Linked DNA regions of Danio rerio. The main gene of each other region encodes a partner of the protein of the gene in region 2 in a complex. Links are inferred from orthologs where the notes say so. Each region holds a gene or a part of one and is shown on either strand. Other genes may lie near its edges.

The links.
Region 1: the proteins of farsb (region 2) and farsa are in contact, whole or in part, in a crystal structure (PDB 3L4G), measured with the Homo sapiens proteins. The link is inferred for Danio rerio from reciprocal best matches to the Homo sapiens genes FARSB and FARSA. Residues at the interface, in NP_005678.3 of Homo sapiens: Glu26, Phe29, Gly32, Leu33, Pro68, Ala69, Asn70, Ile150, Arg152, Asp259, Thr261, Lys262, Arg305, Lys316, Lys317, Val318, Gly319, Ile359, His360, Cys362, Asp363, Glu366, Ala369, Ile370, Tyr374, Asn375, Ile377, Gln378, Met379, Thr380; in NP_004452.1 of Homo sapiens: Ser221, Gly222, His223, Leu224, His225, Leu227, Leu228, Arg231, Ser232, Arg235, Leu239, Gly242, Phe243, Thr244, Glu245, Pro247, Asp249, Asn250, Phe251, Ile252, Glu253, Ser254, Phe263, Gln266, Gln267, Phe277, Phe278, Leu279, Arg280, Asp281.

The regions. Positions count from the first base shown.
Region 1 is NC_133178.1:12,428,067-12,434,168, reverse strand, and holds part of farsa (phenylalanine--tRNA ligase alpha subunit), read right to left. Parts: intron 6,036-6,102; coding exon 5,943-6,035; intron 5,000-5,942; coding exon 4,871-4,999; intron 3,533-4,870; coding exon 3,417-3,532; intron 3,323-3,416; coding exon 3,238-3,322; intron 2,432-3,237; coding exon 2,332-2,431; intron 2,051-2,331; coding exon 1,882-2,050; intron 986-1,881; coding exon 908-985; exon of another isoform or gene 542-907; intron 1-541.
Region 2 is NC_133190.1:45,134,941-45,141,831, forward strand, and holds the start of farsb (phenylalanine--tRNA ligase beta subunit), read right to left. Parts: upstream 4,290-6,891; 5' UTR 3,811-4,289; intron 2,985-3,810; exon of another isoform or gene 2,880-2,984; intron 1-2,879.

The DNA of each region.
Region 1 (6,102 bases), on a different chromosome or scaffold from region 2:
AAGCGCGTGCACGTCTAGAACGTGCTGACGTGAGACGTCTGCTTTAGCCAATCACAACAGTCAGACGCATTTACGTCCGCGCGGTTTGTGAGGATAAAAGCCTTTGAATATTTTTCCAGACACATTTAGCTGCTAGAAGTTAGTCAGATCACGTTTATATGTTCTTCTTAATGCCAACTGTGTAAATAATCATCGATGAGATGCTTATGATAAGCCGTTGTTTGTTTACCTTCAAGCTTTGCGTGCGCCTATGAGCGCCGCACACGCAGATTATGAACATCTCGACATGTGAAAGTGATCCTGCGAAAGTTGTTCACAATATTGATCATCCACAGAGTTTGTAATTTAGTCAAATGTTTACAAATACAAGCGCAGCCGTTTAAAGCTTATTTGTGGTGAATGATGTCAGAATTTACCGGTATTTTGGAATGGATGTGTGAATGCTCTTTTCCGGAAAATTTCCGTAACATCCTCGCCTGTGTGAACAGCGCTTTTTTCAATATACCGGTAAAGTCGTTCCGGAAATTTTCCAGAAATTTACCGGTATCACTGTGTGAAAGGGGCTAATGTCAATCAAAGTGATTCTGCAGACTGTTTTTTATCAAGTGTGATTATAAAAACCAAAATGTCTAGATTTTTAGCATTAGAAGTTGGTTATATTCACAGGCTGTTGCCACACAACTTTGTTTAAACCCCTTATAAAAGTGATTTTTACATAACGGGTCCCCTTTAAAGCTCAAACAGCAACATCACGCACTAAAGACAGTTGAAAGTATATTATATGTGCACTTAAAAAAAATATCTATTGCCTTCATTAGTTATCCTAAACATAGAAAAAATGCAGGTTATAAACAATTTCGTAATGTAAACACATGTACATTTACACATGTAAATAGCCATATTTTACCTTCATGATAACTGAAGACCTCCATGCTGGGTTCGGTGTAAGGGTTATACGCAGGCTTAAAGCGCAATTTTGTAATTCCTGAAATAAAAAAATTGAAAATTATATGTCTGAATTAGGAAACACAGACATCCAACACTGAGCAATTCACCAGGTTTACTCTTCACAAAAAGGTTTCATTAGTTAAGCTAAGCATGTTAGCTATTGTATTTAGTAACATGAACAATGAATACTACATTACAGTATTTATTCATCTTTGTTAACGGAAATGAAAATGCATTCATTCAGCATTAGTGTTAACCGAATCAGTGCATGAACTAAAGTAAACAAGCATAACTTTGTGTTTTAATAACGAATTAGGAAATGATTTAATTGACATTATAATGAAGTATTGCTCATTTTCAGTTCATGTCAATAAACAACCATGCTTATAGTAAAACGTATAGTAAATATCATGACTTAGAAAATCAGGATGTCTTTCTAAAGAGCTATTAGTCATATTATTCTTAAAAAAAAACACAGTATTTGGGGTTTGTAAGACGACTGTCCTTCAATATAAACAGTCTGCAAAGTTGTGCAAAATGGTGTATGGTAAATAAAGGTATTGTTTTCCAAAAAAAGGCTCTGAAATGCCTTGACCCTTAAACACCTACAGCTATTTTGTTTAATATATATATATATATATAGATAGATATTATTGTAATGTCATATGTCATATATTATTTTAAACAGGAGAACCTGAAGCTTCAATCTGTATCATTTAAAGGTCCAGTCTAAAATATTTTTGGTCCAAAAACATATGAACAGACAGAAAATATTCCAGAAATTTAAGAAAAACGTTTTTTAAAAAAAGTGGCATTTTCTCTAGTAGGGAAAATACTACGGATGTAACTAATAAGTGAAACTAGTGAACTATATACTTGTTTAAATAGGATTTATACTTGTGTATCTTGTTTTAAAAGCGAGCAGTCTCATACCTAGTTTGGTGAAGAACTGGTGCAGGACGCCCATGAGGTTTCCCAGTGTGAGGCCATAATCGGCCACCACTCCTTCAATCTGGTGAAACTCCGCCAGGTGCGTAGCGTCCAGAGTCTCATTACGGAAAACTCTGTCAATGGAGAAGTACTTGACCGGTGTGAATTTCTCCTGAGAGGATGAAATGTGAAACAATTGGCCGTCAAACCAGTACTCAAGTGTGTTTGTGTGTACAGGATTTGTCGGTTTATGAGGACACAAATTTGTATGATCTCACAGGTATTACAATGACAAGGGGTTAATAAGGACATAACAGGTGTACTTCTAAGTCAAGACTGTTAAAAATCATATTTGGGGTCTTTTGACATTCAAAATTTAGCCACATGAGAGTTGGGTTGTAGTTGGATTTTGCAGTATAAACCCCCAAAACCAACATGTGTGTGTGTGTTTACCTGCTGTGCAAGTTTATACAGCATGCGAGCGCTGACCGCCGTGGTGTGTGTTCGCAAGAGGTTCTTCTGAGCTTCTTCAATCTTCCAGTCGTATTTGTATCTTAAAATTGATTCGAGATGTTAAAACTACAGACATAAATTTCTGTTTATAAGTTTAGGGTGTGTAAGATTTAAATTAAAGTCACTTTTTTTACTTGAAGTTAATTAATTAGTAAAAAAAATATTTTATATCACACATTTGGGGTTGGAGTGAGATTTATACATTACATGAAAGCTAAATAAATCAACTTTATTAGTATCTTTATTATTTAAATCTGGAATCTGAGGGTTCCAAAAAATCTAAATATTGAGAAAATCACCCCTGAAGTTGTCTAAATTAGGTTCTGAGCAATGCAATTTTAGTAATTAAAGATTAAGCTGTGATACATTTACGTTAGGAAATTTACTAAATGTCTTCATGGAACATGATCTTTACTAAATATTCAAATGATTTTTGCCTTTTTTCAATACTTTTTCCCCATCACTGTTCCTGGAGGCACACCAACAGTACATATTTTAGATGTCTCCCTAATCTGACCCATTCACTTCAGGTTTTGGAGTCTCTTCTAAAGTTCTTATGAGTTCATTCAGGTGTGTTTGATTAGAATGAGGTTGAAAATGTTTACTGTTGGTGTGCCTTCAGGAACAGGGTTGGGAAACACTGTAATATAGTTTTTCTATTTCCTACAAATAAACCAATAGGAAAAAAAACTTTTGTAACATTATAATTGACTTTACCATCACTTTTGATTATTTCTGGATATATAAACTGCTAAATACAAGCATCATTAATTGATTTTTTTACTTACTGACCCCCAGATAAACATTGCAAATCAGTAAATAACCCATAAGCATGGCTGCTCTTACCCCTGTGAGCCATAACCTCCTTCAGAATGAACTTTCTTCACTCTCTCCAGATAATCCCGAGGAAACTCATGAGCCAATGCTGGATCTGACAAACACAAACAACCCCTTCAACACCAGAAACACACACGTGCTCTCAATTAAACTCCAGCAGAGTGACGAACAGACTCTTAATTTCTCACCGGAGATGAAGAAGGTGTCGTGCTGGTCTCTGGCGGGATGCTGCTGTGGCTGAAACAGAGAGTCGAAGTTCCAGAAGGAGCTCTCGATGAAGTTATTAGTGGGCATTTCAGTGAATCTGTGAACAAGGGACAAAATACTCATGAATATACTTGTAATATGACTTGAAACCGACAAAAAAAAAAAAATGAATCAAAACATTGTTATAGAGGTAAATGATTAGCCTTCAGTGGTCTATTAGTTACCTCCAAACACCAAACCTTTACTTCGCTTCAGAACTTTCACTCACAAATTTGCACAAAGCTACTGCCTGCAGTGTATGTATTTTAACATGCTGGAATCATATTAGATAGTGGAAGCTGCCCTCGAGGAAATGTATAACCATTGCTCCCTAAGGGTGCTTTCACACCTGTGAATCGATTCAGTTGTTCCGAAACGGGGATTCAAATTGTTACATTGTTGCTCTTTGCACTTGGTGCGGTTCGCTTTCACACGGCAAAAGTTTCTAAATGGAAAAAAGTAGCTAAAACAAGTCACGTGTGTGTAACTCTCCTCACATTGGTCAGAGTGGTGGCTTGGTGGTGTTTGACAAGGTGTGCGCGACGTGTCTGAAGAGTGAGGAGGGATGCAGTGGGCAGGGGAGAGAAGGGTGCGTGACGTATTTGAGGACCGGCAGAGAGACGCATAATTTCTGGGAGATTATCACTTGTTTGCGGGCATCCAGGAGTCTCTGTTCATTTGCGGGAAACTCACAAAACTTCCAGGAGACTTGGGATGTCTGGAATGACCTCCCGCCCTACTCATAATTCTCTCTATATATAGCTGTATGCCTATTACATGTCCATAAAACACTGTGATATAACCGGGCTCGGATCGTATCGATTTCTTACTACAATCGATCAGCTCCTTTCAATCGAGCCGAGACCACCTCAATCAAGGGATCTTGAAGCGATTGTTTGTGGATTCACATATGCCAAACGAACTGCGCTAACGAAACGGGTTCCGAAACAAAAAGTCTAGGTGTGAAAGCACCCTAAGACACAATTCCTGGTATAATGTTAATGTTGTTTTCTTGTGTTTACATGGATGAATATGGTCAAAGTGTAAATGCACATTACAGTTACAATCTTATTGCCACATTAAATTGTTATGATAACATGATATTGTTGCCTTCGGTGATTTCCTGAAGATAAATACTAAAAATAAAGCAACTGGAATAACTACAGCAGTCGTCATCACTGATCTCATATGAAGGAAGAGATCTCAGTGACGTATAATAATGTGTGCAGGTGTTGTAGTAGTGCCATCTCATTTCTTAGAGGTACATTTGAAGCCCTTCCCCTTCACACTCTGTTTCAAAGGACAAGGGAAAGGGGTAGGGGTACAAACAAATAGAATTGGGATTGGGCCCAAATCCAGTATTCCTTGGAGTGTTGTGCGAGTATGAAGGACTGACCCCATCTCCAGGAAGATCTGCCTGAACTGCGTGCGGACCTTCATGAGCGGGTGCAGGTGACCACAGTCTGGAGCAACACCCATCGCTTCAAAGTTATATGGTTTGAACTTCTTCTCCTTCCAGTTCCCACTGAAACACGGAGCAGAAAAAACAAGACATTACGCACTATACCACAATATACAGAACATTTTTTATCCAGAAGTCTTTTTTTCACCTGAAAGAGCTTTTGACTTGGGTTCCAAAGTGACTTACATTTCAAATTAACATTCATATATACTTTGTTTTGATCACAACACAGGTTAGTGGGCTTGACAAACCACCTGCAGGACACACAATCACTTTCTTCCATATGCACCACACACTTTATTGTCCTTGTACACACTGTAACTTTATGCTGTGTTCACCCAAGATGCGGATGAAGCATCAAGCACGAGTGATTCACATATTAAGTCTACTCAAAATGCGAATGGATATCCTGCGGCGCGATCTGCGCAAATGAGGCGGTATGAATGCCACGATTCTCGCAAATGAAGTGGCGCAAGTTTTGACAAATCGTTTGAGTTGGACAATCTTCAGTGGACATTCGCACTGCGTTAACCAATCAGAAGCTTGCTCTTGTAGGAGCGCAATTATGACGGAACGCCTGTTGTTGGTGTCCCGAGGGGAAATCCTGCTGCCGACAATGGACAACAGTACATCAAACTGGGCTCGGCTCAGTCGAAAGCACCGCTGAGAGCCTCCATCATCCAGGTATAGTTTCTGCAGGAGTTGATGAACTGAGCTGGGTGCACAACTGACTCAGACACAGCGGCAAATTAATCGATGCTGTTGTTCAATCCTCCCAAAGTACATAAACGCAGTTATATTCTCAATAAAATCCATGTTAGCCATTTAGCAACTAAGCTAGAGTCACCGAGCAGACAAAAGCCCTGCCCATGATGCAAATCCGCATCTATTGTGAAGTGAATTTGATGCGAGAATAAAGCGTCTGATGTGAACACAGCATTATAGGTTCCATTTGCAGTGTTTTTGGAATGCTGTACTTAATGAAAGCGACTGGTCTCCCTCTCACCTGGCGATCATCTCCGGGGTCAGTTCGGTCTCCTGTTTGGTGATGGTGGTACTGAAGCTGTTGCCTTTAGTGATCCAGTAAGACTTCACCGTCCTGAAGCAAAACGCAGACAGCAGAGGTTAATGACATCACACATACATTTGAGGACAAAATTTGAGGA
Region 2 (6,891 bases):
CGTCATGTTTTCACCATGGCATTAGATGCGATATGGAAATATAAAGAGTTAACCACATACAGCGCAAGCGGTTATAAGTAACAAAACACAATTAAATACATGATTAGCAAGCTGGAGAAAACAAGGAGACAACCTTTCACTTACACTTATGAAATGTGTCACGGCCCAGGTCTGATTTCACTAATGATCTTTCATTTTGGAGCTTTTCTCCCTTCTCAGCTGTGACTTAGATCCTTTCTATTTGCAATCATTGCTGTGGCACCTCTTGCGTGAAGTGTCTATTTTTGTATTGCTGCCCATCTGACTCCCCGTCTCTATCCAGCCGGCCCTCACTCTTGCCGGCCTCCAAGCCTTAGGCTGCGTCCGAAACCACCTACTACCCAGTAGGTACTGCATTTGAACTTAATTGTACTACTCGGCCAATAGAAAAGTACGTTCTATACAGTATGAATGTGAAAAGTATGAATGGAATTCGGACGTACTACATCCCCCATTTTGTCATGGTCACGTGACCTACCTAGGTCAGTTGCGTCGCTTCACTTCCATTCATGAATTCTCTCGCGGGGCATTATGGGATAGCGCAGCCTGAATAAGATGCGCAGTCCAGAATCTCACCGGAAGTAGTAAGTCATCCGGGTACTTCTCGCATACTGTTTTTCGAATTCTATGAATTCGGACATACTACTTGGCTTACATACTGATTTTAGCGTACTATATAGTATGGAAGTATGCAGTTTCAGACTAAAGCCGCCTTTCCACTGCACATGACATTTGGACACGACTGTCGGAATACGCCCCCTTGTGGCAGCCGCACAGTATTTTCAGTGTTATCGTGCACCACGGGGGAGAAGCTGATTCTCACACGGTGTCCGAAATAAATAAGGGCAAAAGCAAGAGCCTTTATTCTTTATAAGTTTACATGGTTTAATAGATGAATGAATACTAGAAAGACATGGAGAAGACATTAAAAATGTATATTTTTATTACTTTCTTATTTGCATTTATGAACAGAAAAGTTTTTGTTTTAATATAGACTTTTTATAATTCGAAAAATAACCAAAAAAACTCCTCTAACGGATCCTCTAACGGATCTGTTTAGACAACAATGGAATACATCATATCCGGTCGGCAGGTCGCATGCGGTCTAGTCGCAGGAGTTCAAATATTTTGACGGATCCGCAGCTCAATTCGGATCCAAATTTTCCTCACACGGAGATGATCGTAACTCTACGCAGCTCCCTTACAGTTCTCCATTGGAAATGAATGACTTCCGGTCTGTCGCTTGTCGTTTGTCGTGTGCAGTGGAAAGGAGGCTTCAGCCTCATACTGCGTTCCCACCAGACGCGGAACACGCGTCAAGCGCGAGTGATTTACATGTTAAGTCAAAGCAAACGCGCGAATAGACATCCTGCGGCGCGATACACGCGAATGGCGCGGTGCGAATAGGAGTAGGAGTTTATGAGCTCACAGAGCTGGATGCACCTCTGAAAGGATGCAGTGGACTCAGACAGGACCCTAAACGTATCGACGCTGTTTTTCAGTCTCCATAAAGCACATTAACACTGTTATTTTCTTAATAAAATTCATGTTAGCCATTTAGCTATGAAGCTAGAGTCACCGGGCAGACAGAAGCCTTGCCCATCTTGCGTATCCGCGTCTGTTTTGAAGTGAATTTGACACGCGTTTGAAGCGGATTTGACGCTCCAATGAAGCGGGGGTTGACACGCGAATGAAGCGAGTAAACTCAAATGTTCACGCGGCTATTTACGCGCGAATAGCGCGATTTATCCGCGTGTACCACGTCTGGTGTGAACACAGCATCAGTCTTCCACGTGGCCGCTCTGTTCCAGACAGCGGAGGCCGGATTCACCGCCCCCTGTCGGGAATCAGGGTATTGCACCCTCTTGAAGACCGTTCCTCCAGCCTCTTCAGAGTAGTTTTATTTTCATAATTTTTGAAGTCTTTATTTGCTAACGTCTAAGTTTTTGAGTTTTTGTGAACTTTGGGCCTCTATGCCAGCTCCATTACGGAGTAATTTTTCGTTTCCTTTTTGAAGACTTTTATGTTGGCTAAATTTTGGCTTTAAAATAAATTAATTTATTTAATTAAATAAACTTTGTTGAGACCTGCACCTGTGTCTGACCAATTTTCTCTCTTATCTAGACCGTGACACCCTGTAGTATTTTCATGTGAATAACACTCCAGAAGTCTGTTTACAACATTGAGCAATCACTTTTAAGTGGTCAAAACACTCGCTATGAGGCGATACGGTGGAGCTTTTAACTTCCCCATCATCAAATCTCACTACAGCGAGTTCTTTGTGTTTCATGCAGTTTGAATGCCTTCAGATTAGTTTGTGTCAGGAAATTTAGTACATGTTTATCCACAGCTTATAAATGTCTGCGGTGTTTGTTTTTACTCGAGTCGCTTTACCAGCTAGCATGCTATTCATTAGCAGCCGAAGTGTGTTTTAACCATCTCCTCTTAAATCTTATGAAAAATGTCTCTTTTGGCTTTAGCTGTGTGTATATTTCCATTCATGCTGTGGTTTATTGGCGGCAGCAGTAACCACAGGCTGATCTCTAGCTCTCTCTCTCTCTCTGTGACCACACACACACACAAGTTCAGGCTCCTATTTAGCGGCTCAAAGTCAAGTCCATCATCTTGCGTTTGTTGAATGTGTCCAGAGCGACTGAACATGTGTGGTCTTCAGCGTCAATCGCTCTTTCAGCTCTAATTCTGTCTTATTTCTGTGCGCTCCAGCTATATTTATCCCACTACAGTGTGTCCCCTTGTACTGCCTCACAAACTGCTGTGTTAGGAGTCTTTTAAAATAGCAGATGTATAACTCTCTTGCTTTCTGTTTGTTTGTTTTTCAGAGTTTGTAAGTGACCTATAATGCAGTGAAGAGAGTATGGTGTTAGGAGCTGATCTGTATGCAGAGTGAAATCCGTCATGACTGTGAAGTCATTGCAACACCGCAGGTAATACAACTGACACAGGATGTATCAGCCATCAGAGAAAGCAAATAATCTTGTGAGAAACTCATACATGAATAGAACTCAACTCGATTTATTTTTAACGCACTTTTAGTGTCGAAGCAAAGTGTTGTACAGAAAAAAAGACAACAACAATGAGAAACAGACTCCGACCTAGGGCTGGGCGATTTTTTCGATTAATTCAAATTTACGTTTTGACGATGATTTTATTTTATATTAAATCGAGAATCGTGATTTTTCAAAAATATATTTAATACATTATAATGGCACCAATGCGCTTTGGTTCCTTCTCTGTATGAAGCAGGAAGCACACCAGAAGCGCCTCTCGGCGACACGCAGCACCACACAGCCCCATGGATTTTAGAATTCTAAACAGGTTTCTATACACACTGGAGCCGCCCAGCCATGATTCACAACGCATATCATATTTTAGCCACGCCACAGAGCGCCATCAGATTCGTTTCATGTTAAATATCATGCGAATGCGCACGTCTGGTGTGTTATAGTTTAAACTGTCATGTGCGCGCCGTGTGCGACCTGTTGACTGCCTGTTAAAGCGTGAAGTCATGTAGGATTTTAATCATTGCATTAGTCTGAGTTATGTCTGTGTGGATTGTCAAGACATATTCCCTCATCAAGTCGATAAACTCGATCTCAACATGTATGAAGCACTTAAAACCCTGCCATGTGAAAAACAGTGCCGATCTTTTGGTTTGAACACGAGTAGAGGTGAGGGCCTGTAGCAGAGAAAATGAAAGTACCCGCCCCCATGACGTCATTTAGCGGACCTAGTTCAGGGCTCGAAATTAACTTTTTTACTTGGTAGCACCGGTGCTTCCAACTTCAAAAATTTAGGAGCACCAGAAAAAATTTAGGAGCACCCACCAAAAATGATTGAGCACCGCTGCAAATTGTATTTTAAGGGATTTATTGTATTTTAAAACAACATCAATTAGGACTAAGAAAAACCAGAAACAACTATCTAACTAATGCTTAGATGACATTGATATTTGTGTGCAATAATTCCAAAATGAATGTCGAATAATTATAAAATATTAATGATAATGAAAATGACAATAATAGTAACAATGAATTACATTTGTTATCATCATGCGACCTTAAATGTGCTTGAATGAATTATGAAAAATAAATGTTTAGTTTGCATCAATTAAAAATGAAGCATTGCAGTAAAAAATATTTATTTTGTACTGCTGTTGATATATGCATGTCAGTTTGATAAATAATATTTCTGCTACAAAACAAACAAAAGATTATAATAAATCATTCAATTCAAGGCTGAAAGCTGCAAAGCAGTCATCAGTAACGTAATAAAAAATAATAATATACAGCTTAAGAAAGAATAGACAAAAGAAAGTAAGTAAAGTCTCACTTCTATCACTCTTTAAAAGTTTTGGTTTCAGTTTGTGTCAATTTAAATGTTCAGTCTGAGCTGATCTTCATTTTTCTGTGTTAGTGGAAAAGCAGGCGAGTCAGCCGACCCAATATATGAGCAGGTTGAGCAGGATTCTTGCGATGACCACTGGCGCAACCGCTGTTTGTTATGAGCCGCAGTTTCAGTGTAAACTTAGTAACGGCGATGATATTTTTTGTACAGTATTAGATTTGACTTTTACCGGACATTTGCGCTGAACACGCAGTGAAAGCAACGCATCGAGATTCAGGCTCCTTCTCCGAAAACACGTACTTGATTGATCTCAGCTGGCGGATCAATATTCACCACATGTCATGATCGCTCTCCTCTGCGCCTCAACTTTAGGTGGGGTTTGCAAACCTGTGTGCTTTAAGTTTACACTGTTTAGCCGTTTGCATTTCCCGTGTTCATAAAAGCTCCTTCCCTGTCATCTGACAGCGGAATACCTTGAGTGATTGACAGCTTATATAAACCAATATAGCGGCAAGGAAGAGCGATTCAGCACGTTTTTATAAAAATTCCAAACAGGTCGCACTACAACCATTATCTGTAGTCACACTAATGCTCCCATATATATTATGAGGTCGCATAGATTAATTTTTGGGCGCATATGCGACCAAAATGGTCGCAATTTCGAGCCCTGTAGTTGAAAACCAGACAGATCAGGCAGCATAATACAGAGAATGGAGCAAAGCGCATCAAATGATCGGTATTTAAAAGGGGGAACAATAAAAATTTATTAAATATGTTATTTTATATCAGACACATCTGGTACTTTTATTTGCTCCTGCTATACGTCCACAACTTCACACATTGGGTTAAATTAGGCTTTACAGTTTCCATGTTCAGTCCTTTTCTTCCACTGTATCTTTAAAAAAAAAAAGGCAGCAGCATTACAACCTGTCATTTAATCAGAAGACAAAATCAAAGCAGAGCTGACAGCCAATCTTTCCTAGGCTCAGCAAATCTTGCAAAAAATACCTCTGTATTCCTGCAACTGCAGTATTTACACAAATATTTCTTATTCAAATCTTCAGCAACGCTTTTTAACTCGTGAATTTGTTTTACATTTATTTACAATTTGACCGATTTTTTTTTTGTATGGCATGGCCATTAAAAATACAAAGTTCCTTAACCAGATGGTTTTTCATGTTACTTTTAAAGAGAATGTTACTTCAGTCATGTTGTTGTAATGTTTTGAGAAGACTAGTAACACAATAAAAAAATCGAAATCCTGAATCGACTTTATAAAAAACCTAGATTTTTTCTTTTTGCCAAATCGCCCAGGCCTACTCAGACCTAATGAAGTGCACTCTGTATTAAATCTAGTGTTAGAAGAAAGAAATATATCAGAATTATATACAGTGCTCAGCATACAGTTGAAGTCAGAATTATTAGCCCCCCTTTGAATTTTTTTTTTTTATCTGTCTGCTGCAGATTTTGAGTCATGGGTAATGCAGAGAGTCACAGCGGTGGCCATGGCTATTATGGAGACGGTCAGCGGCAACTGTCTCGAAAACACATGTCCCGCTCGCTCCGTCTGTCCAGCAAACAGACGTACTGCACCCGCAGGACGCCATCCGGAAAACCAGAACACCGCAACTCAGAGACCAGCACCCGCTCCAGCAGCACTCCCAGCATCCCTCAGTCCCTCGCCGACCATGGCCTGGAGCCCTTCAATGACTCTGACCTGCTGCCCGACTTCAGCAGCCCCATCTGGGTGGATCGCGTGGCAATGAATCTTCGGCCCATGTCCTTCCACAACCAGCCGCCCCATTCGCCAGCTGTCAAACCTCCAGAGGAAAATGCACAAGTCCAACACACACGGTAAGGCCGTGCAAGTCATTCACTGCAAAAAACAAAACACTTTCTTACTTCGTCTTGTTTCTAGTCCAAATAGTGAAAAATTCTTAAAGGTGCAGTATGAAAGTTTGACACCCAGTGGTTGAACTAGGTATTGCACTCCTGGTTCAAAACACATTTTCACTCAGCCCCTCCTCTGACGACTCCACGCGAGCGCAGGCTGCCAGATTGAGGACACCAATAGGAGCGTTCCTGTCTATCGAGCATACTCCGCTTCTTAAATCAACAGCGCGATAAAATAAATATTTTTCATATTAAAAGGAGTGTTTGTCCTTGAAATTTCTAATTTAGAAACAGCTTCTATTAATGTTAAAGAGGTTTAATATGTATTAATTCAATTATAAATCTTACCATATCGTTGGAGTGTAGTGAATGGATTATCTTGTGTTTCTGAAGGGCTGTATTTAAGGGTGCTTTAACGTCTGTAGTTCGCCTCATTTGGTCCGGACCAAGGGTAATAAATGATATATTGTTGCATCTTCTGCGACAATTTCGCAGACTTCATTAAAATAATTTTTGATTAAATAAATCAATTCTACCAATCAGGTCACTGAGAAAAAAACAAGGCCCATAGTGTGCCTAAAGCGCAATGCTTCA